Regions from separate parts of the Mus musculus genome. Here all the other regions are reported to be linked to region 7. Evidence: microRNA targets listed by miRTarBase, many of them from high-throughput screens and not tested one by one. Region 7 holds a microRNA gene; each other region holds the end of a gene's coding sequence.

Region 1 (3,082 bases), not on the chromosome of region 7:
TAATTGTGTATCATACACAAGGGGAACACTTGTAAAAGCATATTTTCTTCACTCCATGTAGATCGATCACCTGTTAGCTGTAGTTACTAATGTTTTTTCAACGTTTTGTTTTGCTTTAGAAAATTAAGCAATGCAAAAATGGCATCCTAACGAAGGAGTTGCTGCATGCTGTCCACCCTGAATCACCTGCCCTGAAAACCTCGCTGTGTCTCAAAGAGCCGAGTCTGCTTCCCGTGAAGGACACACTCCGAGCTATAGAGGGCAGCAGCCCAGCAGATAATCGCTACTGTGACTATGCCGAGGAATTTTCTAAGTCGGAGCCTACCGTGGTCAGCTTGGAGTACGGGGTGGCCAGAATGACTTGTTAGCCTCCTTCCGTGATCCCTGGATGACTGTAGTGTAAGAAATGTATAGTTGTGAGGATGGTCTGTACACATGGGCAGGAGGGGTTGTTGAGTGACTTTGGGGCTTAGCAGTAAGTGAGAAAGTAGGTAGCTGAGAAAAGGATCATAGCAACTCTTGAGAGGAGTGAGTCAGCTAAGTGCCATTTGTAACAAGAACATACTCATTTCTGTAGGAAGTGAGTGCTAGTGTGTGTATGTACTGGAAAGGGGTTACACAGGACTGGTGAGCTGACAGTCTGTTGATTCAGATGTTAATTCCAGCCACGCTCAGTAGCTTTCCTCTAACTCTGAGAAAACAGACCTGACAACCTGAACCCTCAGTGACTGATGTGGCATGTGCTTTCAGTTCTGGAGCTGTGTGACTGTGGATTTTGCAGTCACAAAAATCCAAATATATAGTCAAAAATATAGTGACGTTTTAACATTAAAGTGCCATGAAAAGTACTTATGGGACAGCCTTAAAGTAGACTCTCAGTTTATTCTGTGGGTTTTATAGCCGAGGACAGGATGTTTGATCTCTCCTTTAATCAGCCTTATTTCATATGAAGAACTAACTGCACTCTGATTACTTGGGGGCCGCACACTGCAGTGCTCCACCATGGAAAGTTGTAGACATACTCTGCTAGTTTGTAATTAGCCAGCTCCACCCGTATTTAAAATCAGTGTTACCGAAGGCTTTGTTCTCGTTGTCATTTGTTCCAAGCTGCAGCTGACAGTTCATTATTCACAGCTTAGAGGACTCATTTCTTAGGCTAGTATAAGCACATTTGGCATTTACTTTCGGCTTACTGCAGTCTATTAATTCTTACTCTGTGGTTGGCTTTAATCCTTTGATAACTGTACATTTAAAGTGGCAAAGCTCTAAAGCGTTCTGAGTACTAAATACATTTTTAACTTGACTGTAGCTGCCTATAAACTTTCAGGTAAAGGAAAAAGGGAAGTGCGGGTAGTGGAGATTTTGCTTGGTTACGAATTCTAAAGCAATCATTTTTGTGTGGAGCATATTTCCTTACTCTTAATATAGGAGGGGCAGAGAAGGGAGCACTGGGGGAGCCAGCTAATGTCCAACAGAAGCAGCTTTGACGCAGGAAAAGGTTTATTTTGCTTTATAGGCTCATTGTTATTCTGTGCACTGGGGCATACATATCTTTTCTAAAAAATCACTTACAACTGTCAGTATTACCAGCTGGCTCTCAAAGTTTAATATCATTGATGGTGTGTGAGGTACAGTTCAGGGGCACTACAAAATCTGTGTACATTGTCTTATATACCTCCTGACCACACCTATATCTGTAGTATTTCTTGTGTTAGTTTTGAACATATGTATCTTTTTTTTTTTTTTGGGAAAAAAAAGGAAAGCTTTATCGTATATGATTTTATCTAGTCCTTATTTTTCCAATTCACTTCTGTAAGACCTTATGTAATAAAAACACTGCATTTTAAAAAGTAACAGAAATATACTAAAAATTACAATGTATAATGAACAGTGTTTAGACATTGAGAAAGGAAACTTAATCTCTGTGTCCACAACAGGAGGGTTTTGTGCCTTGGTTCCAGTCAAGTTGTGGTTTTAGACTTCTGTGGCAGACTTCCTAGTCATCTTCTGGGTTCCTTATGCTAATTTTCAACTTCACATGTATATATGTGTTTACATGCTCACACAGAAAACATCCTGAGTGACGTACAGGACATACGTTGGCAAAAGTCTGTGTAAATGTCTCATAAAATTAGATTTATGTTCATTGTGTTTTGGGATGTATAGCATGTAAATTATTTCATGTATTATTTAAAGGCAATTAAATGTTCATGCTTTACTTTGAGTGTTTTTCTTTTGGGATAAAAAACAAATGAGGAAGGATCCTAGAGGAGAACCTGTCACTGTCACTTTACTGAACTGGCATGATTCCTAACTGCATGCTAAATCCAGTTGTGGATCCATGAGTGGAGCTCTCATCCCTCGTTAGAGGAACTTCTTTTTGTAGCAGATGGAGACCATAACAGAAATCCACAAGTGCCCAAAATGCTGAGAGCAGCTGACCACAGAGTGCCCGATGCCAGCTGACACAGCTACAGCACAGTCCTGCACAGGAGGCTCAGGGGACACAGCAGGAGGGTGCACAGAAAGATTAGGCAAGCTGTAAGAGCCAGAGAACCAGGAAATATGCCTTGATTTTGTGTTTCTTAGAAATGACAGGGAAGCTGCACACCCATCATACCACAACAATATGGTTGCCTGAACAGTGACATCAACAGTTGACATGGCAACATGGATGCGGAACGTCTCACAGGACCTCACCAGAGACCTAAGACCACAGGAAATTCATCATTGCTGAGAGAGGAGAATCCATCTGCCCCAGTGTTGAGCCTAGAAAATGGTAATCCAGTTGCAAGTGGTCAGCCCTGAAATCGTGTACATACAAGCCAGTCTAAACAGGGAAAACAAAAAACAAAAAACAAAGTTGTGCTTTTTTTCCCCTTGCTTGGGCGAAGGGTCTTATAATTACCTTAGCACAGTGGAGTTTTAGCATTTCATTTTCCAAAGGTATTGACACATTCCTTTTATATACAACCATGCTTTCTGAATAATTAACCAGGTTGTGGCTGACAGGTTCAGTAGAGAGTGATGAAGTTGTAGAAGTGCCTTGGTCCGTGGCCGGTTATCTGTGCTGTTACCAGCT
Region 2 (3,082 bases), not on the chromosome of region 7:
ATCCAATCTAACTACATATTCATATTTATATAATAAATATGCTTTGGTTCATTTTTCAGTGCCTGTGCATATGAAATTTTTTTTGTTTTTGTTTTGTTTGGTTTGGTTTTTTTGTTTTTGTTTTTTGTTGCTTTTTTTTTCAAGACAGTATTTTTCTGTAGACCAGGCTGGCCTTAAACTCAGAGATCTGCCTGTGAGTCTGGGATTAGAGGTGTGAGCTACCTCCTCCTGGCATTTTTAAAAATATATTTCTAAACCATATTTATTACTTGGTAGGAGAGGAAAGACATGAGCCGGCTGTGGTGGCACATGCCTTTAATCCCAGCACTCGGGAGGCAGAGGCAGGTGGATTTCTGAGTTCAAGGCCAGCCTGGTCTACAAAGTGAGTTCCAGAACAGCCAGGGCTAGCTACACAGAGAAACCCTGTCTCAGGGGGAAAAAAAAAAGGAGAGAAAAGACATAATTTCTCACAGATATGTCATTACCCTTTACTTATTCCTCTAAAAGCATGCCTTTCAGGGCTAGGGAGACACTTCAGTGATTGAGCGCTTACACTGCAAGCAAGCATGGGCAAATGCTCAGTGGCTGGGCATGGCTCCAAGTGCCATAATGACAACATTGACAGGGTGACCACAAGCAGGGACAGGCAGGTCCCGGGAGCTGGTTAGCCAGCATGGCAGCCAACATGGCAAAAACCTGTTTCAAGTCAATATGGTGGAGAATGATAGATACCTAACTGTTCAGGGATGGGCAGGTCTAAGGCTTTCTCAGAGGCACCAGTGAAAAGACAAAGGGAACCTACTGCTGTGTCTTTGCCCAAAAGTAGACTTGGCAAGGGCTGGGCTGGTGCTGGGGCCAGGGCCTCAGAGGAGTTAAAGGATTTGGTCCCTAGAAACTTGGCTTTTTCCCCTAAAGAGGCTGGAGTAATCAGTCCTAAGGCCACTACGTGCTCTGTTGTGATGAACTTGAGGAAGCCTGTGTTCCCTTTTGTACAACATTGCTGGACTCACTTCATGCTAACTTCATTCCATTATTCGATAGTTTCTGTTAACTCTGTCCTACTCTGCTGTGGAAATAGAATTTAAGATGCTGTACTTGTTAAGCTTGCTAAGCATAAGATCTCCAAACACCAGTGTCCCCACCTTCTCATCTCCTACCTGTCTCACTGAGGACCCTGCCACTGAAGAATGACCTGTTGGTGCAGCTCACTTGACATCCTGCTCTGGCCTCATGTATCCTTCAAATGCACTCATGTGCCACACATACAAAGCATGTCTTCAGCAGAGTGTTAACTCCAGCCTATAATCCTAGCACAAGAGAGACTGAGGCTTAAAGGCTGCTGCGAATTCAAAGGCTTGCCTGGGCTACACAGTGAGTCAAAGGCAGCCTTGGCTACAGTCTTGAGAGCCTATCTCAAAAAACAAAAAACAAAGCAAACCAACAAACAAAAGCATACCCTCCATCTTTAATTGTAAGGCTCCTTCCTCTATTACCGTTCTCTTTAACTAATCTCCTTTACTATAGGTCTGATGGCAGGTCTGTCCCTCACCATTCAATCTCCTCTATGACGTGAGAGAGGAGTATCAAGAGTTCTCCAGGCAACCCTCAGTGGAGTGAGTGGTCTATGACACACTAAAATGGCCTTTGGGAGCCCCTGTGGGAAACAAGGGTGCAGCCCCTAACTTAGCCGCCTGACAGCTGTTGCCTCACATTCAACATTAGCTTCAATGGCCCTCCAAAGTCCTGAATAGAAAATTCATTCTACCTAAGAACAAAGCCCTCAGACCTTAAAATAATACCTTTATACTGCCAGTCATTTCCCCCAAGTATAATAAATCAGTTATTTATTTAAGTACTTTATAAAAGAAAATGTATTGTAAATAATCAAATAAAGTCATAGTGAAGTTGAATATTTATTTGAATTTCCCCTGTAAAAGCACTCAATATGTAAGAAAAATAAACCAAGTTTGTGAGACTTTAAAAAAATATATATATAGCCATTTTTGAAAGTGAAAAGTTGGATTCTTTTTTCAATGGCAACAAGTAAGATACTGTTATTTTAAAACTACCATTTAAAAAGTAGTATTTTTTTAAATGTATACTATATTAACATGATGTGTTCTACAGAATGGATACATATATGAATGCCAATCTGAATATGGAAGAAATATATGTGTTAAAAATCACATGTTTAAAAAAAACCAAATGTTCTTTTAAAAAGAACCTGCTAGTAACCTTCATAAACTTTCACATGCGGGATTTATTCTTTAAAAAATATCCCATTTATCCCATCCCCCCAAGAAAAGAAAGAAAAAAGGCAAAATGTGCTCAGTTTGAACAGAGCCATATGGAACCACTCACTGCTGTACAACATGGAAGCCTAGTTATGTGGCCAATAGCAACTTCCTAAAGTGCATCTTTGGAAGATTTGTCTAATAATTCCAATCTCAAATGTAAAATACTTAACACAGACATGCAATAACAAAACTAAATCATTATAGTGTAAAGTTTTTAAAACTACTTTTAAAACTTTTGATTCACCAAAGAATAAAGACATCAATACAGTAGGCATTTTCAGTCTCCAACAGTGCACACTATGTGCGCTTGTTATTTGGCAAATCTTTTGGAGTCGAACAAAAATAATGCAGTCTAAACAATATTTCTCTGTCAAATATAATCGATTCCTCAGGCAAAGCAGTAAAGCGCAGAGAAGAATTAGATTTTGGGAAGTTTTGGTGCGTTGACCACAGGGTTGGCCTCCTCTAAGTATCTCCTCCCTGCACTTTTGTAGTCGTAAGTGCAGCCGTGAGCTTCTGCATAACGGTGAGATGCACAGAAGTTGTTTCCACATCTAAAGCACAAAGAAACTTTATGTGAATACTCACATTTCCACGGAGGGCTCATCTCTTTAGCTTGACTTAAAGTGGACCAACAAAGCCCTCTGGATCTCCTTAGCAATTTCAGTACCAACAGTTCCCCCCCCCCCACTTCACGCAGCAGTATAAAGCCCCCAAAGAACTACTTGTTCATGAATGACAGCTATACATCTTATTGAAGTAAAAAAAAAAGAAGAAAAGCTAGT
Region 3 (3,082 bases), not on the chromosome of region 7:
TGCTGCTCTTCCTGTGCCCCGGTGTTCACAAGGTCCAGTCAGGAGGCCTACACCATGGGATGGAAGTTGGAGAGAGAGCGGAGGGTGGTATCCTACACACTCTTTCCTCTTGACCCCATCCAGCAGCGCAGGCCAGATGCCAGCTCCTGGGCTTCCTTCGTGGCAGGGAGTGTGTGGTAACTGAGTAGTAGTCTTATGTCCTCACTGCTAGAGGGATGATGAGGTGGGCTTAAAACCATGCACTCTGGAATTTGTTGTATTTTTTTCTCAGTAAAGCTTTTCCCCTGACTGCTGCTTTGTGTGGTATGTGGTCCATTTATTGTGATAGAGGACATAGTGTACAGTGTATTCCTTCCAGATACATGCTTGATTTTGCTCATACTTAAAAAGTGAAGTCTGGGATATCCCTGTTTCTAGTGCTTGAGCCATAGAAGAATGTTGTAAGGGAAATAGGTCTGTTAATGTCAGTGGTGCTTAAGAGATGGGGCACTTTCTTTGGGGTTGTTTTCTAGTCCCTTGTTCTATACTGCAGTGAGTGGTGATAGGGAAAACATGGCTACACACCCCCTCCCAGTCATTCAGAGCTTCCCAAACTTAGTGACCCACAGAGATTCTAGAATCAGTCAGGTACGGTAGAGTCAGTCACCTTTATTCCAGGGTTAGAACAAGGCTGTGCACGCTGCAGACAGAGGAGCACAGGCTAGGAGCAACCTCACAGCAGCACGAGGGGGTGAGTATATTAGGGCAGGTTAGTCTGTTTAAAGTTTGGTTTTTGCCTTACAGAGAAGCTTCTGAGAAGCACCCTGTCTCCTCCCTCTTCCATAAGGGAAGCGCCGTCTCACTCCTGCTCCCATGGAACACCCCAGAAGGAAGGATGTTACCCAGAGTTCCTTTCTCCCACCCAGTTGTACAAGGATTTCTTGTCTTAAAGGAGATGCCAGGCAAGACTAGGGAGATTTAGGAAGGACCTTTAAGGCAAAGCTGGAGTCTTCGAGGTGTGAGAGTTAAGGCAGGTGTCTGCAGCAGTGGCCAGAGGAGATGGGCAATCTGGGCTCAGCTAGGAACTGAGGGTGCTCTAGTCAGTCTGGCTTCAAGAACCCTCTTCTGACAGCCATTCCTCCCCTCCCTGTGAAGTTTTGCTCCCACATCCTAAAAGCACCTACCTTCATCTTTCTCTAAATTGTCTCTTAGCTCACATGTAAATGTAACATTTGTTGTGGTTAGTTGAAATGTGTTCTTTTCTGTTTGGACTCTGTAACAATTTGGCTCTGCCACTTCCTTTCTGTGGCATCCCCTCCCACTCCCGCTCTGGCCTAGACAATAAGTTAATGCTAAAAACCACAAAAAAGGGCAGACATGGCAGTGCGGGTTTAATATACATATATGTAGAATATATATGTACACACAGTTAGCACGGTCAAGATGGGGAAGGGCATCTTGGGACAGGGAGGAGGCTGGGTTCACTCACTGCACTCTAGTGACTTGACTGTGTGGCATCCACAAACCCAAATGAGAAAGGTTACCAGTCCCTTCCTGGATTGAATCAGGGTGGTGGTCAGTGCAAAGGAAACACTGTAATTAACTACTTGCTTGGAGAATTCTAAACTGGAGAGTGGAAAGGTTGCCTACAATACTCTGTAGGTTGTGGGCAGGTTGGGGTTAAAACCTAAGGATCTCATCCCCCAATCTCCCTAGGCTCCAGGTCAGTTTATCCAACAGTCTGTATTTAGAAACTGAGGAGCAGAAAGTGGGCCTGTCTCTGCCTGCGTCCCTAGCTCAGGCTCAGTAGTGCATGGTCCCGGCATCGTCTCTCCAGAGCAGAAGGTTGGGGGACAGTAAATGCTGGCTTCTCCATTGGGGTTTGATCTTTGGGACCAGGAAAGGATCGAGTGGTCTTCTCATTAAGATTTCTGGCTCATCCGCATCCCAGGCCCATAACAAGGGCATAAGGAGGGCCCATTGGCACTCAGGACCTCAGCCTAAGGGAACAGCAGGAAGCTGGCTTCTAACCAGTCCAGCATAGAGATACAAACACTGAGTCCTGGCTTTTCTTTGTCCCTTACCAGGTGGAGGTTGAGTGGCCTCTTTACCTTCCTTCCCCACTGGTTTTCTTTAGATACAACCATCTCTCCCATACCTCATCTTCACCATAGCTCCTCAGTGTAGGAAAATGCAGGTCCTTTCTGCTTCCATAAAGATGTGGGGGAAGAGTGGAGGAAAGGGGAGAAGGAGGAGGAATGTGCCAATTTCTGTTTACATAGAAAAAGCGTCCACCTCCCCCTATAGTGGGGGGATTTAAGCCCCCCCTCCCTTGCCTCCAATCCCCTCATGAGGAGGAGGAACTAGATGAGCTAGACAGACAGACAGCCAGAGCGTGCGCACACGCACACACACGCGCATAGTAAGGGTTAGGACCAAGTTAGTAAATGGGTACGGAGCAGGGGGTTGCCCTAGCCCCTCCCATTGAGGATGGGGAAGGGAGTGGTCTGATGAAGATCCAACCTTCCTCCTCTTCCTCCCCCTTGTTCAGGCCTTCTTTGGTGGGGGAGCCAATTTGATGATTTCTTCTTCAGAGGGCTGCCGGATAATGTCTGAAAAAAAAAAGGGGGGTGTTCCCAGGGATGGAGGTCGCCAGGCAGGCAGGCAGGCCCATTAAGCATCAACCTCTCCCCAAATTCAGAATGACTTTCTACTCTTAAAAATACAGTCAGGCTGGGCGGTGGTGGCGCACGCCTTTAATCCCAGCACTTGGGAGGCAGAGGCAAGCAGATTTCTGAGTTCGAGGCCAGCCTGGTCTACAAGGTGAGTTCCAGGACAGCCAGGGCTATACAGAGAAACCCTGTCTCAAAAAACCAAAATAAATAAATAAAATAAATAAATAGTATATGTAGTATACATATACTATACAATATATAGTATATACATATATACACACACATACATGCATGCATATATATATAGTCAGACAGGGAAGGGAGACCTAGAGCTATGCCAAAGGTATGGCTTCTTACCTTTGTACTTCTTGGCACTGGGAATACGGGTTAGCTTGGTGTCCAGCTCCTCCTCCTCAGAGATCTTCAGC
Region 4 (3,082 bases), not on the chromosome of region 7:
TGAATGGTGACGGTGATGGTGTCTGGGGGACACACTCAGGCTGGGCTGCTTCTTTCCTCATGCCTATGGGGACACCGGGCAGCCTCCTGAGCTTGGACTTACCACTGATTGGTCGCGGACAGGTAGCTGCTTCAGTCAGCCTGGAGGAGGTCTGTATGTTTCAATTATAGGGCTGTTTTCTTTGCCTTCTAGAAAGTCCAGGAGGAGGAAGAGGAGGAGGAGGGGAGCAATACCAGCAAGGTACCCGTCGTGTCGGAGGCTCATCTCTGAGAGAGGTGGCAGATACTCAGGAACACAAACACTCACCTCTTGGTTCCAGTTAGCTGTTACTGCCAGTACTGAGATTCTCATGGGGAAACTTTTCGAAGCAGCTGGAAGATGTGTGCCTCGCACGGCAGTGCCTGAGCCTACTGGACCCTACCCGAGAACCTGCATGGTTTACTCGGGGAAAACCTCACCTCTCTTCAGATGCAGACTGGATTCTGGTCCCCACTCCCTTTTAGGTCTTGGGCTAGTGCTGGGAGAGGCCGTGGAGGTGTTGAAGTCCGTCCTTGCTTGGTCTCTTGCCTTCTCTCATCCCTTTCTTCTCTCGTGGAGAATGCTTGCAAAATTATCCTAAGAAAGCTTATTCAGGATATTAACTTTTTCTAATGTCTTAAGAGCACTTCTTACTGCAAATGGGCGAACTGCTCTGCCTGAGGGTCACGAGAGGAAGCACCCCAACAGGCCTCCATCATCCCAAGGCAGCTCAATCCGGACTCTTGGCTTTGCCCCCCCCCCCCCCAAACTGCAGTGTTTCTTCAGATCGTCTTTCCTAGAGTCAAGGAGACTAAACACCAATAAACCAGATAAAACCTTTGTGGCCACAAAGGAGAAAGCGATTAGAGAAGGCTCTCTGCCTAGGTGCGACAGTGCAGGGAGGGGGCTGCCGGGAGTGTGTGTGGGGCTGAGTTGGGATGGGAAGGTGTTTTCCTACAAAGGTGGTGCTCGCCCATGGCCTTCTGTGTCCCAAAGCACTCAGAATATCTTCATTGGATATTGCACTGTGAAATGCAGCCATCAGGGGCTCGTGGCTCTAACCTTTATTAAAAGTTAGTCTCACTCACTCTACTCTGACACATAAGGCTATCTCCTCAGGAGGAGAGAGGTAGAAGGTGGCTCTTAAAATAGACATGTCTGCTCCAGTTAAACATGAGGCCATGCATGTTGAGGACTATTTGAACAACCAAACCCCCTCCCTGTCCCTGCTGGCGAGAATCTTTGTCAGTTATTTTACATTTAAAAGGATTATTTTTAAACCAATCTCAGTTGACCTTTTTACCCACCCAGTCTGCTGGTTATACTCATGGGCTTTCATAGTGTCTTCCCCAAAGAGAAACTGGCAGCTAATTGTTCCTATGCCTTGAGCAACTCTGGTCATGGACTGTTGGGTTGTCTGGCCTTAGCATACCAGATTACCCCGTTTGCCTGCAGTACTGGGGTATCGGGCCAGATATGTGTGTGTTTGTGCAGTGGATGGGAGGGAAGCAGCCGCCTGGTGGAGGGAGTGTTAGGGATGGAAGAGATGCCTTACTTTCTGTCAAGAGAAAGGTGTTTTTTCTTTAATTGTTCAAAGTGGACGTGTTTACTCAATTCATTTCTTTATTAATTCATTTCTTTATTTAAAAAAAACAACATAATTTGTATTTCCTGTGTGCAATACCAGATATTTTAAGGCAATAAAGATTTTCAAAGTGGTCTGCCTCATCATTTAGTGAGGCAGTGGCAGTTTTGGGAGGTCCCTACCAGGTTATCTCCCTTTCCTGAGAAGACTGTCTGGGAGATGACTGCAGGTAATGGCAGAGCAGCTGTGTCCTTTGTTGACAAGGGTGTAACATCCTGTGGGAATTTTAAAGAGACTTTAAAGGTTCCTGACCGCCTACATAGAAGCTCTAACTCAGTGGCCACCCTGTGACCCTGACTTCCCCCTTCCTGTGTACAGGCTGGAATGGGCTCCTCCCTAAGGGAAGGCCCAGTGTTGTCTTTGGCTCTGCCTCAAAGGGCACTGAAGTGTTTTGTTTGACCACCCACACCAGCTTGCCCTGGCCGGTGTCTGCAGCTTGGTTCTGGCAGTGGCAGCTTGGTACTCCCTCCTGGTCTTCCCCACTCTGATCGACTTAATGTCTGTAAGCCAGGTTCACAGCTGTCACTTTTTCTGCATCTTTCTTACCTTGAGATGTGCCCCATGCCTGTGACATTTTGGCACTCTATTTCTTAGCAATTTTTATCTGGAGAGACCACGACTCTACTAGTCAGTTAGAGGGGAGGTACTGAGCCCTGTTCCTAAGGAGTCTGCTATTCATAGTATGTGCTCAGTGCACCTTATCCCTTCTGGGCTCGCATGTCAAGGCATTTGTAAGCTGTGTGCTCAGGGAGCCATCATCTTACACACTCGCTCAGCCCTGTCAAAGGTGGTCTCCAGAGGAACCCACTTCTTAAAACAGCGAGAGGATAAAGGTAACTCTTCCCATTGGGCTGCCTTTCTGGTGCTGTGGGGATCTGAGGTCTGGAACTACATTCTCTTTTGGTACTTACAAGTGAAGCCAGCCTGAATCACAAGCCAGAGTTGGGCAAAGCTGGAAGGACTGCACTGAATGAGAGCCGGAGACCCGACCGAAGCACCACCAAACCCCGGGAAGCCCACTTTTTTTTTTTTTTTTTGCTACAACAGCCACGGCATTTTTACTGTCTAAAGTCATTTAAGGTAAAATTCCCCCTTAAAGCGCTGATGCTCTCTATGTACTTAACTAAGACATCAGCCATCTCCTTACCTTTGTGAGCTACTTCCTCCTCTGACCTCCAGCCTTTCACAGGTACAGCCTTCTCCCTCTTGTAGCTTCACGGTGCTCAGTCCTTCAACAGCTGCTGCTCTTTTTGCTCAAAATGCCTCAATGGCATTTAATGCTTCAAACAACCTTCTGGACATTGAATCTCAAGACACCCACCTTCTGGGCATTTAAGTCTCAGCTGAGGACCCCCCCCCCCCCCAAGCTCAGGAAGATCTTTCTGATCTATTTAATTATCATCTACCTAGCTCTACCTC
Region 5 (3,082 bases), not on the chromosome of region 7:
CTGAATTTCCCCATCAGGGCAGTACTTCCCCGTGACATTCCAGAATTTTCATTTGAATCCTGTTCAAGCCAAGTCATTGCCATTTAGATCTGTAGCATAGAGCTTTAGAAAAGAAGGCAGGTGGTCTCAGGTAGGATGCTCACATGCTTCTCTCCTTGGTCTCTCCTAGGCTTGTGGAGTACACCCGTGCTGACGGCACGGTTGGTCGGAGGGTGAAGCCCTACATTATCGACCTTGGCTCAGGCAATGGAACATTCTTGAACAACAAGCGTATTGAGCCACAGAGATATTATGAACTGAAAGAAAAAGACGTACTTAAATTTGGGTTCAGTAGCAGAGAATATGTCTTGCTTCATGAGTCTTCAGACACCTCTGAACTTGACAGGAAGGAAGATGAAGATGATGAGGAGGAAGAAATGGTATCTGACAGCTAGCAGCTGAGAGGCAGCCTCTACTGTTAGAAACCGTCCCTACCGGAGGCTGTGGTGGTCACTCCAGCGCCTCTTCTTGCCTTAAGTCTTTTCTCTGTTGCTGCCCAGCCTATGTTGCAGTATGAGAACTGTCACTTCATGTTTTCTTGAAGTTGGCACAGCAGCTGCCTGCTTGTGGGCCCTTGTTTTCTGAACAGTCTCACCAATTACAGCATGTCGAGTCTGGTCAGAGCGTGTGGTGGGCACCTTCAGAACTGCTGCATAGCAAACTGCCCTTGGAAAGGGGATGGTGGCTTCTTCTCTTTGTACAGTTTCCTATTTATATAGCTGTTGAGCTTTGTGGACCAGGAGTTTTGTTTTGGGGACAAATCCTAGAGTAGAGAATCTTAGTCAGCTTTGGTTGTCACCAAAACAGCCTCCAGCCTATACCAAAGCTTTGACCTGATTCAGCTCTTGAGTCATAGAAGTTGATTTTGCACTTCGTTTTGGGGGTGACAGTTTACCACGTGACTTCTCTATTGGCTGTCTTCGATAAACAGACACTCTGTGCGATGTCTGTGTGACAAGACTGTAGGGAGGTCGTGGCTTCTACCAACAGGAGCTGCTGTCATACTGTGCACTGGTCTGTAGATCTGCACCCTGAGGATTCCTGATTTCTTCATGAAGCAGACATCATAGTTTGATCATCTGGTCTTTTTCTTTAGCTTTGAATTTTTATTCAAATGTCGCCTCTCTTCTCCCTTTGAGAAACACCACACTGACTTTGTAGGAGGGGCCTTGCTGTGGCCTAGGGATGTGTGTATGTGTCTAAACGAGGTTGTGTAGCTTCCACACTTCCAGTTCATCTTTGACCATGTGTTCATATTTTCCTCCCACGGGTGGAAAGTAAGAGACAGCCGAGTGTCTGAACTTCCCACCTGGGATCTGTGAGTAGAAAGATACTCCTTACTGACAGTCTGTGTGCTTCAGAGCTATGTGCTGGGTTTCATATGTCAGTGTTTTGCGATATAAATAATACCACATGATAGGCAAAGGCCTGTCTGCATTTGGAGAGCAGGTTTTCATTTATATGTATTTTTGAGATTAAAAAAATAAAATTTGTAAATATAGCCTCATTTTAGAGGGTATTACTTTTCTCACATAAATGACTTGTTCATAGGTGTGTTTGCTTCTAAAGGAATCTTTATAAACTGTTCTGAGGTAAAAGTACTGTGTGTGTAGAGAATTGTAGGGAGAGGCCTGAAGTACTGAGGACAGAAATCGCTTATCTCAGCAAGGAGGGCGTGGGGCATGAGCTGTCAGGGAAGGATTTGTGTCAGTGCTCTACATTTGGTGACCACTCTGTCCCCGGGTAGAGATGATAGCAATCCTCCTGGGCTGCTCTTAACTTCCTCCTGGGCTGGGATTTAGGATGCTGCGGAGTAGACTGTCTTGTTTGTACAGTCAGGGTCTCACTTGTTCTCAGGGCTAGAGGCTGGCTAACACAGGAGGGTCAGCTCAGGAACGTGTTAGGAAGAGACTTACACAGTCCCTACGGTGTGCAGGGTCAGCCCAGGAACGTGTTAGGAAGAAAAGCACAGTGTATCTTGGATATTTTTCTTAATTCAGACACCATTTTCTGCCCGAGAATCCACAATAACCTGCTACCCTACTTCAGTGCCTTCTTTCCCAGGGATAGTTTGTGGATTTGCTTTCTCGATGAGCACTGTGCAAGGTGACCACTTTACCTACATTTTTTTTGTAAAGAGGTTCCAGGAACCAGAAGTGGCGACTCATGCCTATAGCCATGAGCTTGGAGAGGCTGAATTCAGCAAGAGGATTGGTGTAGATGTTAGGGCGTGTGGAATGTGAGGCAGCCTGGTCTACCTAGGAAAACTTTAATCTCAATAGAAATGTCCCAGTTGTTCTGATAGCAAACATTTGCCTTAGTGGAGCGCTGGCGTCCCAGGTTAAGAGCTTCATGTTAAGTCATGCGAGATGTCTTTTCTTAGAGACTTGTTCATCTTAACTATTTGCAAGGTCTTAACTGTCTTTCTCCACCTGACGTACAGCTGTGTGCAAAACAGCTCTCTGCCGCTGAGCGTCCACACCAACTTCTCCTTGTGCTCCCGGGTTCTACAGAAGTGGGCCAAAGAGATGGCTCAGCTAGTAGAGGTGCTTGTCACCAGCCCCAGTGGCCTGCATTTGATCCCCAGAACCCTCATGGTGTAAGGACAAATCAACTCCCACAAGCTGTCCTCAGACCTCCACATCTGGGTGGGCACGCAAGATAAATTGTGTGAAAGTCCTCCCTGGTCCTCTCACCTCCGTTGTTTCCTATTCTGACATCACAGATAGCTCACTGGGTGCAAATGCTGATGGCCATCCCAGATACTTGTACTGTGTTTGGGTGCTGTGTGGACGAGAGGAAAATGAGCTGAGATAGTGGTATCTGAAACCGTACTGTAGGTAGATCGGTCGGGAATTCATCTTGTAGTCCAGTCTATACTCAAACTACTGGCTATCCTGTCTCAGCAAGTTTCTGCCTGTCCCCTAACACCCTCAGGTCTTCACTGTGGTCCTCCAGCATCAATCTGAGCACCCAAAGTAGCTGGCCCTAGAAACCATCGTCGTTAACAAGGTCCTGCACTTTATGCCCAAACACCCGGGAT
Region 6 (3,082 bases), not on the chromosome of region 7:
TTATCATGAAATGCATGCACGCTTGTCAAATTATGCTTGAGGAGAAACTGCTAGATTTAGGGAAGAGGAGTCCTAAGAATGAAATTTTTTTATTTGAACTTACAAGTTCTTCTTTAAGTGCTAGGTTCCCCTTTAGGCATATTCAAGCCGTGCATGTGTGTGAAAGCTCTCATCTCATCCCATCCCGACATCATTTCTATCTGTTGACTTTGTCCTTGTGTTTGTTCCCGACAGACTGGTGCGCCGACAGGACAACTTCCAACAGGAAGCTCATCCACCAACCCTTTCTTATAGCCTTACTTAGACTCTGTACCGGAACGAACGTTTATGTGACCATATTACATCTCTTCGCCTCTTGCACTGTTGTCTTGTTTCACTGATCTTAGCTTTAAACATGAAAGAAGTCCTTAAAATGCCTGCACTGTGTATTAAACACCAGGTAATATGTGCAAAACAGAGGGCTCAGCAACAACTTTTCACTTGTGAATTGGCAGGAAAAGGTAGCGGCATCATGTAAGTTAAAAATTGGCTAATGTTAAGTTATTGCAGATCCCACATTCATTATGCTGCAGTACTGTACATATTTTTCTTAGAAATTAGCTATTTGTGCATATCAGTATTTGTAACTTTAACACATTGTTATGTGAGAAATGTTACTGGGGAAATAGATGAGCCACTTTTAAGGTGCTGTCATATAGCTTGGAATGAATGATTAAAATCATTTGAAGCATTGCTTCTGGGAAATTCAAATTGGAAGGTTTTATTCATTCTTGAATTTTTCCTTCTCAAGAGCTCTTCTATTCATACACGGCTAAGTTCTTTAAAGATGTGGAGGACACCTGTCTGCGGAATAAAGCTGATCATGTTTTGCTACAGTTTGCAGGTGAACAAAATAAATCTTAGAAAATATGCTATTGTTTTTGTGTTCTTGCTGCAATGCCTTTACCAAAGTGGCCTTAAATGTAATGAGTAGTGAGTTGAGAACATCTTGAACTCTTAAAGACTTCTAGTGACTAACTTTTTTTAAAAGGCCATGTAGAAAATTTATTAAAACTACTAGGACTGCTATATTCAGGAATGTGACAGTGGAAAAGCATTTAAATGTAGCTTGTCAGATTCACCATGCTACTTCTAATTTCTCTGCAACTTCTTAATTTTGTGAAATTTGTAAATATGGAGAATTTGCATGTATGTGTATTTACAAATATTTTTTAAAGATCTTGAATTCTCAGACTGCAAAAGGCCTACTTTAACTATTTTCCCCTCTGTTTTCATTGTCTTTGAATGTATTGGAAGCAGACATGCATTGACTGTGACATGGTTGCACCTGAGGTTCCCCCCTCACTTTCTGGACAGACTGATACTATCTATCAAACATTTGTTTCTGTTGGTTTGGGGATAAAGAAAAAGGAACCCAATGTTACCTTAAAGTGATGAAATACTTGTGTAAAAAGGTAGCAATACTAATTTTAGTTTATCTTTTTGTTAATATTCAAATGAACTGTTTAAATATTTATATGTAGTAATGCCTCGTTCATCCCAGGATAATCTGGCCCTTTCATCAAAACCAAATACAACTAAGAATTGAAATGATTAAAAAGAAATCTTTGAACAATACCCCTAAGTTATGAATTTTGTATGTAGAGTATATGCATTTCTTTGAATGTGTTTAATAGTTTGGTAACTTGATTTATTGGTCCATAGCATATTAATGTTAACGAAAGGAAGGGTCCAGAACAAGGATGGAAAGCACGTCCTGCCAAAGGCTCCGTAGGGACAGCCAGCCCAGTTGAGAAGTAGTAACTCTGTGCCATCAAAAAAGCTGAAATTGCATACACAGTATGTAATGCCTGTTAGAAAGTAACTTAAAAAAATTTTAAAGCATTGGTTTAAGTGATATAAGCATCACTTTTCTCACATGTTGTATTTATAGTGGATGTATTTTTGCAGTGATGGCTGTCTATTCTCATACTCTAAAGTCGCGGTGTTTACTTTAAGCACTGCAGTTGGGTGCCATCCTTACTGGGAAGTTGTGCTTTGTATGTACTTGACAGGTGACGTGCCTGAGACTTAGTCCCCTCTGACCAACCTGCCACTGAGAATCTAGCTGGTGTTGTTGAGGCTTGCCTGCATTTTGGGCATAGTCTTGAACTCTTTGTACATTTTGGGGATCTCATCTGTTTTCATGGAGGGAAAACTTAAATCTTTAAACTTTGGTTTGAGATTGTGTCAGATCCAAATCAATTCATATGTACAAGTTAAACTATATAATTATAGGCCATTACCCAGATGACCCACCAGGCTTTCCATCTATTGAGTAAATTAAACAGTTATCAAAATAACTTTAAAGACTATTTTTTCAAAAAGCTCTGAGGTGTATAATGAAGTGGGGGTGGAGGGACTGTTCTGACTTCCAGTGAGTGCCTATAGTAAAAATAGAAGTTCTTAGGTTCAGAGCAGTTCCAGTGTCACAGTGGGTCTTCGCATGGTTTTTGTCTTTTAAAATTCCCCATCTTTTAGGCTTAAATTTGGGGTTGCTTCTAGTTTTCGGCACTGTGTTGAGCATTGAAAGGGTAGTGCTCAGAGTGATGGCTGAGGGTCTTCACAGTGTGGGCTCAGTGCTCACAGCACACTTCCTGCTCTGTCTCTCATCAGAAGTGAAGTTCTGTGTTGATAAATTTAAAATCATCTTGGTCTTTATGATTTAAGGAATGTTTTATTTTAGACTTTTTTTTTTTTAAATAGAGGTTAGTTTGTCATCTCCCATAAGATCATTTGTTCTGTAAATTAAATACCCGTTCTATGGGGGGTACTTGGTAACTCTTCCCGTCAGTTGCAAAGTGGAGAGAGTGGCTGGCTGTGTACAGACAGTCACTGTGCTGGCATTTATGAAACAAGCTGTTTCACAGTCATAGTTCTTATAACTGTTGATGGTCCCGGCAGGAGCTTTAGTTTATGAGACTTGACGCTTTCATAAGGTTAGTATATTACAAATAAATACAGAGGGATTTCTAAAGCACACCTTTTAGATTTGACTGTAATAGCCCTATTACTTGTTACCATAGATATTTGATGTAAAATA
Region 7 (3,082 bases):
AACTGAGACAATCTTCCTGCATCAGCCTCCAGACATGGGCTCACCAATCTTTCTTTCTTTTTTAATTGATTAATTAATTAATTAGTTAATTTGGTTTTTCTCAAAACACGGTTTCTCTGTGTATCCCTGGCTGTCCTAAAACTCACTATGTAGACCAGGATGCCCTAGATCTGGGTGATCCACCTGCCTTTGCCTTCCAAGTGCTGAGATTTAAGGCATGAGCTACCTACCATTCACTCACCGCCGCGCCCCCTGCAGCAGACTCCCCTATCTTAACCTGGGGGGAGGGGGCTAAGAGCTTGAGACTGGAGCCTTTCCAAATCTGGGGTCTCCCCTTTGTACTGGTTCCAGCCTTGGAATATGGTTCTCAGCATCCACCTTATCCTTTTAGCTAGAGATAGCTATCTCTATCTAAGACTATGATCCAAGCACTGACCCTTTTGTTCCTCAGGCTCCTTAGCTGGCCCGACAGATGCCCTTTCATCATTGCACTGCTTCCCAGAGGCCCACAGTAGTGCAACAGGGAAAGAGTGTCCAACAAGCCTGTCAGTCTCACGGGGTGGGGCGGGGCATGGGGAGTTGGGGTGGCTGGAGTGGGATCTTAGACCTAGAACGCATGCCCACCTGGGCGGAGCCTCGGCCTGAGCAAAGGATGCCCTCTGACCCCAGAGACACGGGCCTGGCTACAATCTCAAGTTTCCATGGAGAAGAGAGTAAAATGAGCAGGGGGAGGGTACGGCCTGCAGGCCTGAGGGGCCAGGCCTGGAAAGGGAAGAAAGAAGGAACAGTAGGTGAGGTGGTCTTCGAGGCTGGTCCCAGATGCTTTGACAATACCATTGCACTGCTTCTCACAGCACAGTAGTGCAACCTAGTCAGAGCACCCGCAGCCAGCAGGAAATCCATCGCCCTCGCTGCACGCAGGGCTGCGCTGGAAATTCAACCACCATGGGTGGGTGGGACATCTATCCAAGCTCGGAGAACAGACGGGATTCCAGCCCGGATGCAGTCCTCTGGACTTATTAACTTCAGGGAACTCAAACTTTCTCTAACAGGCTTCTGATTCTGGTGAGGTACTCCAAGGAGGGAGCTGAAGGGCGAGCACCCGAGGGGGCTCAAACACAAAGGAGAGAGGCCTGCGCTCAGTTGCAGAGGGGAGCACAGTGGGACTACTTGTACCCTGTTTCAGACCAGAACTAGAATAAGAGGGATACTTCACTCCTTGCACGTGAGGCCCTTGGAGTCCGAGATCCGGTCCTTGGTCCATTCCCCCAGTATGAGTTCTGCACTCTATCCTAACAGATTCTCCTGCCTAGAAGAGCAGAACTAGGGCTTCCTGGCATCTGGAGTTTCCCTGGCCTCACCGCACACCCTATCCCAGACCAGTTACTCACGTGGACAGACACCTCTTGTTCTCACCAGGGGGACAAGGTGAAGCTTAGTGGAAGATCCAGGTAGGCGGCGGCCCCGTCATATCTGGACAACCCCGCACCTCAGCACCTCGTGGCGCCCTCTCTCCCTCGGCTCCATCTTTAACCATCTGACAGTCCCGAGGGCCGAGCCCCGGGCCTCAAGGCACAGCGCCAGCCTCATTGGCTTGCGCCTACACCAAGCTTTGCCTCCTGCGCACCTATTGGCTGCTGCTGGAAAGATTTCAAAATAGCCTCCAGGCTCCGATTGGCCAGGCGCCCGAGTTTTGGCTCCACCGTTTTAACAATGAGTTCTACAAACACTTTCTCCTCATTCATAACTCTTGAAAAGGAGCTCTGTCCGCCTTTTCCCAGCTCATTTCTCTGTAGTTATTATAGTGATACTCATGAGGGCGCGTCCATGCTTACTACACAGCTCACCAAATTAGCGAGGGCTCTGAGATCCCGGCAAAGTGTCCTTTGGCCAAGCCAGCGGTTGAATGAACCCCTAGGGGATGCTTCGTATTTCGCGAGAAATTTGTTCATTGCTCCTCCAGGATGGGACATTTACTTAAAAACCGTGGCCTTCCCTCTTTCTGTCCAACTTCAGAGCATCGTCATCAGGAAACCTCTGGCTGGGCTGAGGAGGCCCTGGCACTTTTTGTAAGTGAAGAAATGCTCTGATGTCATTGATGTCATTGAGAATGTGAACCACTTTATGGGTAAGAGTTCATTAAGTGACCTTTCTGAGCTAATATGTCCAAAGATACACAGCACCTAGCACCCAGAACCTGAGGTGTTCTACTCAGTTCTGTCAGCGAAGGGAAAAACAGAGTTTTGCAGCTGGCGTCTGAGCTTTACCCCTAGTTATATCCATATGAGACAGGGAATCTTTACCCCCCAGCTCAAAGGCTGAAAGAAAATATTTTTAAAGCAGACAGAGCTGGTTTTCGATCTTCAAGAACTCATTTTGTCCACTTAATTTTAAATGTAATTTTTTGTGTATGGGTGCTTTGTTTGCCTGTCTGTACCACCATGTACATGCCTAGTGTTCAGGGAGGTCAAAAGGCTTTCTATCCTCTGCAACTGAAACTATAGAGGATTGTAAGCAAACACATGCATGCTGGAAATGAAACCCATATGCTCTGGTAGAGCAACCAATGCTATTAACACTGACCCATAATATCTCAGTCCCTACATTGTTTTGTCTTCTTTGGGAAAAAAAAGAATGCTGGTTTTTTGAGACATCGTATATCACGGCTGGCTAGTTGAGAACTCACAGAGTAGACCAGGCTAGCCTTGTGCTTATGGTAATCCTCCTAGGTTTTTGCAGTACTGGGGATACAGCCACCACACTGCATCGCTCCACACAGATACAAAATAAAACATCCAGAAATTCCAACATTTGGGAAGTGGAGAAAAGAGCCAGAAGTTCAAGACCAGCCTGAACTACATGAAATACTGTCTTTAAAGAGAGGGGGCTCACCAGAAAGAAGGCTCAGTGGTTAAGAGGGTTGGCTGCTCTTCCAGAGGACTCAGGTTCCATGCCCAGGATCCACAAGTTGTCTCAAAGGCATCTGTAACTCCAGTCCAGTATCGTCTTCTGGTCTCTAAAGCCATTGCATGCATAGACATATGGGCAGTCAAAACACCCATACACATAAAAATAAAAATCA

Evidence for each region. The annotated mature microRNA mmu-miR-301b-3p reads CAGUGCAAUGGUAUUGUCAAAGC and lies in region 7 at 822-844, opposite strand. An mRNA with a match to its seed (bases 2 to 7 or 8) in the 3' UTR can be bound and repressed. Matches are read on the target gene's strand: a 7mer-m8 pairs with bases 2 to 8, a 7mer-A1 pairs with bases 2 to 7 and ends in A, and an 8mer does both.
Region 1: the mRNA of Mtmr6 is a reported target of mmu-miR-301b-3p. The part of its 3' UTR that is shown has no 7-base or 8-base seed match.
Region 2: the mRNA of Zfand4 is a reported target of mmu-miR-301b-3p. The part of its 3' UTR that is shown has no 7-base or 8-base seed match.
Region 3: the mRNA of Pea15a is a reported target of mmu-miR-301b-3p. Seed matches in the 3' UTR shown: 7mer-A1 at 1,787-1,793 and 7mer-m8 at 1,558-1,564.
Region 4: the mRNA of Flvcr2 is a reported target of mmu-miR-301b-3p. Seed matches in the 3' UTR shown: 7mer-m8 at 1,039-1,045.
Region 5: miRTarBase lists Snip1 as a target of mmu-miR-301b-3p. Seed matches in the 3' UTR shown: 7mer-m8 at 905-911.
Region 6: miRTarBase lists Agfg1 as a target of mmu-miR-301b-3p. Seed matches in the 3' UTR shown: 7mer-m8 at 356-362.

The regions. Positions count from the first base shown.
Region 1 is chr14:60,300,154-60,303,235 of GRCm38, forward strand. Mtmr6 (myotubularin related protein 6) reads left to right here. Exons shown (of 14, transcript NM_144843.4): 14 at 120-2,218. The coding sequence ends at 368. Among named protein-coding and RNA genes, the nearest start is that of Mtmr6, 36 kb to the left of the region's middle.
Region 2 is chr6:116,329,118-116,332,199 of GRCm38, reverse strand. It overlaps Zfand4 (zinc finger, AN1-type domain 4), which reads right to left. Exons shown (of 10, transcript NM_001309446.1): 10 at 1,896-2,851. The coding sequence ends at 2,716. Among named protein-coding and RNA genes, the nearest start is that of Marchf8, 7.4 kb to the left of the region's middle.
Region 3 is chr1:172,196,100-172,199,181 of GRCm38, forward strand. Pea15a (phosphoprotein enriched in astrocytes 15A) reads right to left here. Exons shown (of 4, transcript NM_011063.3): 3 at 3,012-3,082; 4 at 629-2,591. The coding sequence ends at 2,527. Dcaf8 (DDB1 and CUL4 associated factor 8) reads left to right here. Exons shown (of 14, transcript NM_001357204.1): 14 at 1-294. Among named protein-coding and RNA genes, the nearest start is that of Pea15a, 9.2 kb to the right of the region's middle.
Region 4 is chr12:85,811,850-85,814,931 of GRCm38, forward strand. It overlaps Flvcr2 (feline leukemia virus subgroup C cellular receptor 2), which reads left to right. Exons shown (of 10, transcript NM_145447.2): 10 at 193-1,736. The coding sequence ends at 270. Among named protein-coding and RNA genes, the nearest start is that of Erg28, 12 kb to the right of the region's middle.
Region 5 is chr4:125,072,497-125,075,578 of GRCm38, forward strand. Snip1 (Smad nuclear interacting protein 1) reads left to right here. Exons shown (of 4, transcript NM_175246.5): 4 at 170-1,547. The coding sequence ends at 434. It also overlaps the pseudogene Gm18480. Among named protein-coding and RNA genes, the nearest start is that of Snip1, 7.4 kb to the left of the region's middle.
Region 6 is chr1:82,894,765-82,897,846 of GRCm38, forward strand. Agfg1 (ArfGAP with FG repeats 1) reads left to right here. Exons shown (of 13, transcript NM_001368850.1): 13 at 235-3,082. The coding sequence ends at 294. Among named protein-coding and RNA genes, the nearest start is that of Agfg1, 57 kb to the left of the region's middle.
Region 7 is chr16:17,123,599-17,126,680 of GRCm38, forward strand. It overlaps Mir301b (microRNA 301b), which reads right to left and starts at 898; the gene lies at 802-898. 2610318N02Rik (RIKEN cDNA 2610318N02 gene) reads right to left here and starts at 1,604. Exons shown (of 7, transcript NM_001358255.1): 1 at 1,392-1,604. Mir130b (microRNA 130b) reads right to left here and starts at 544; the gene lies at 463-544.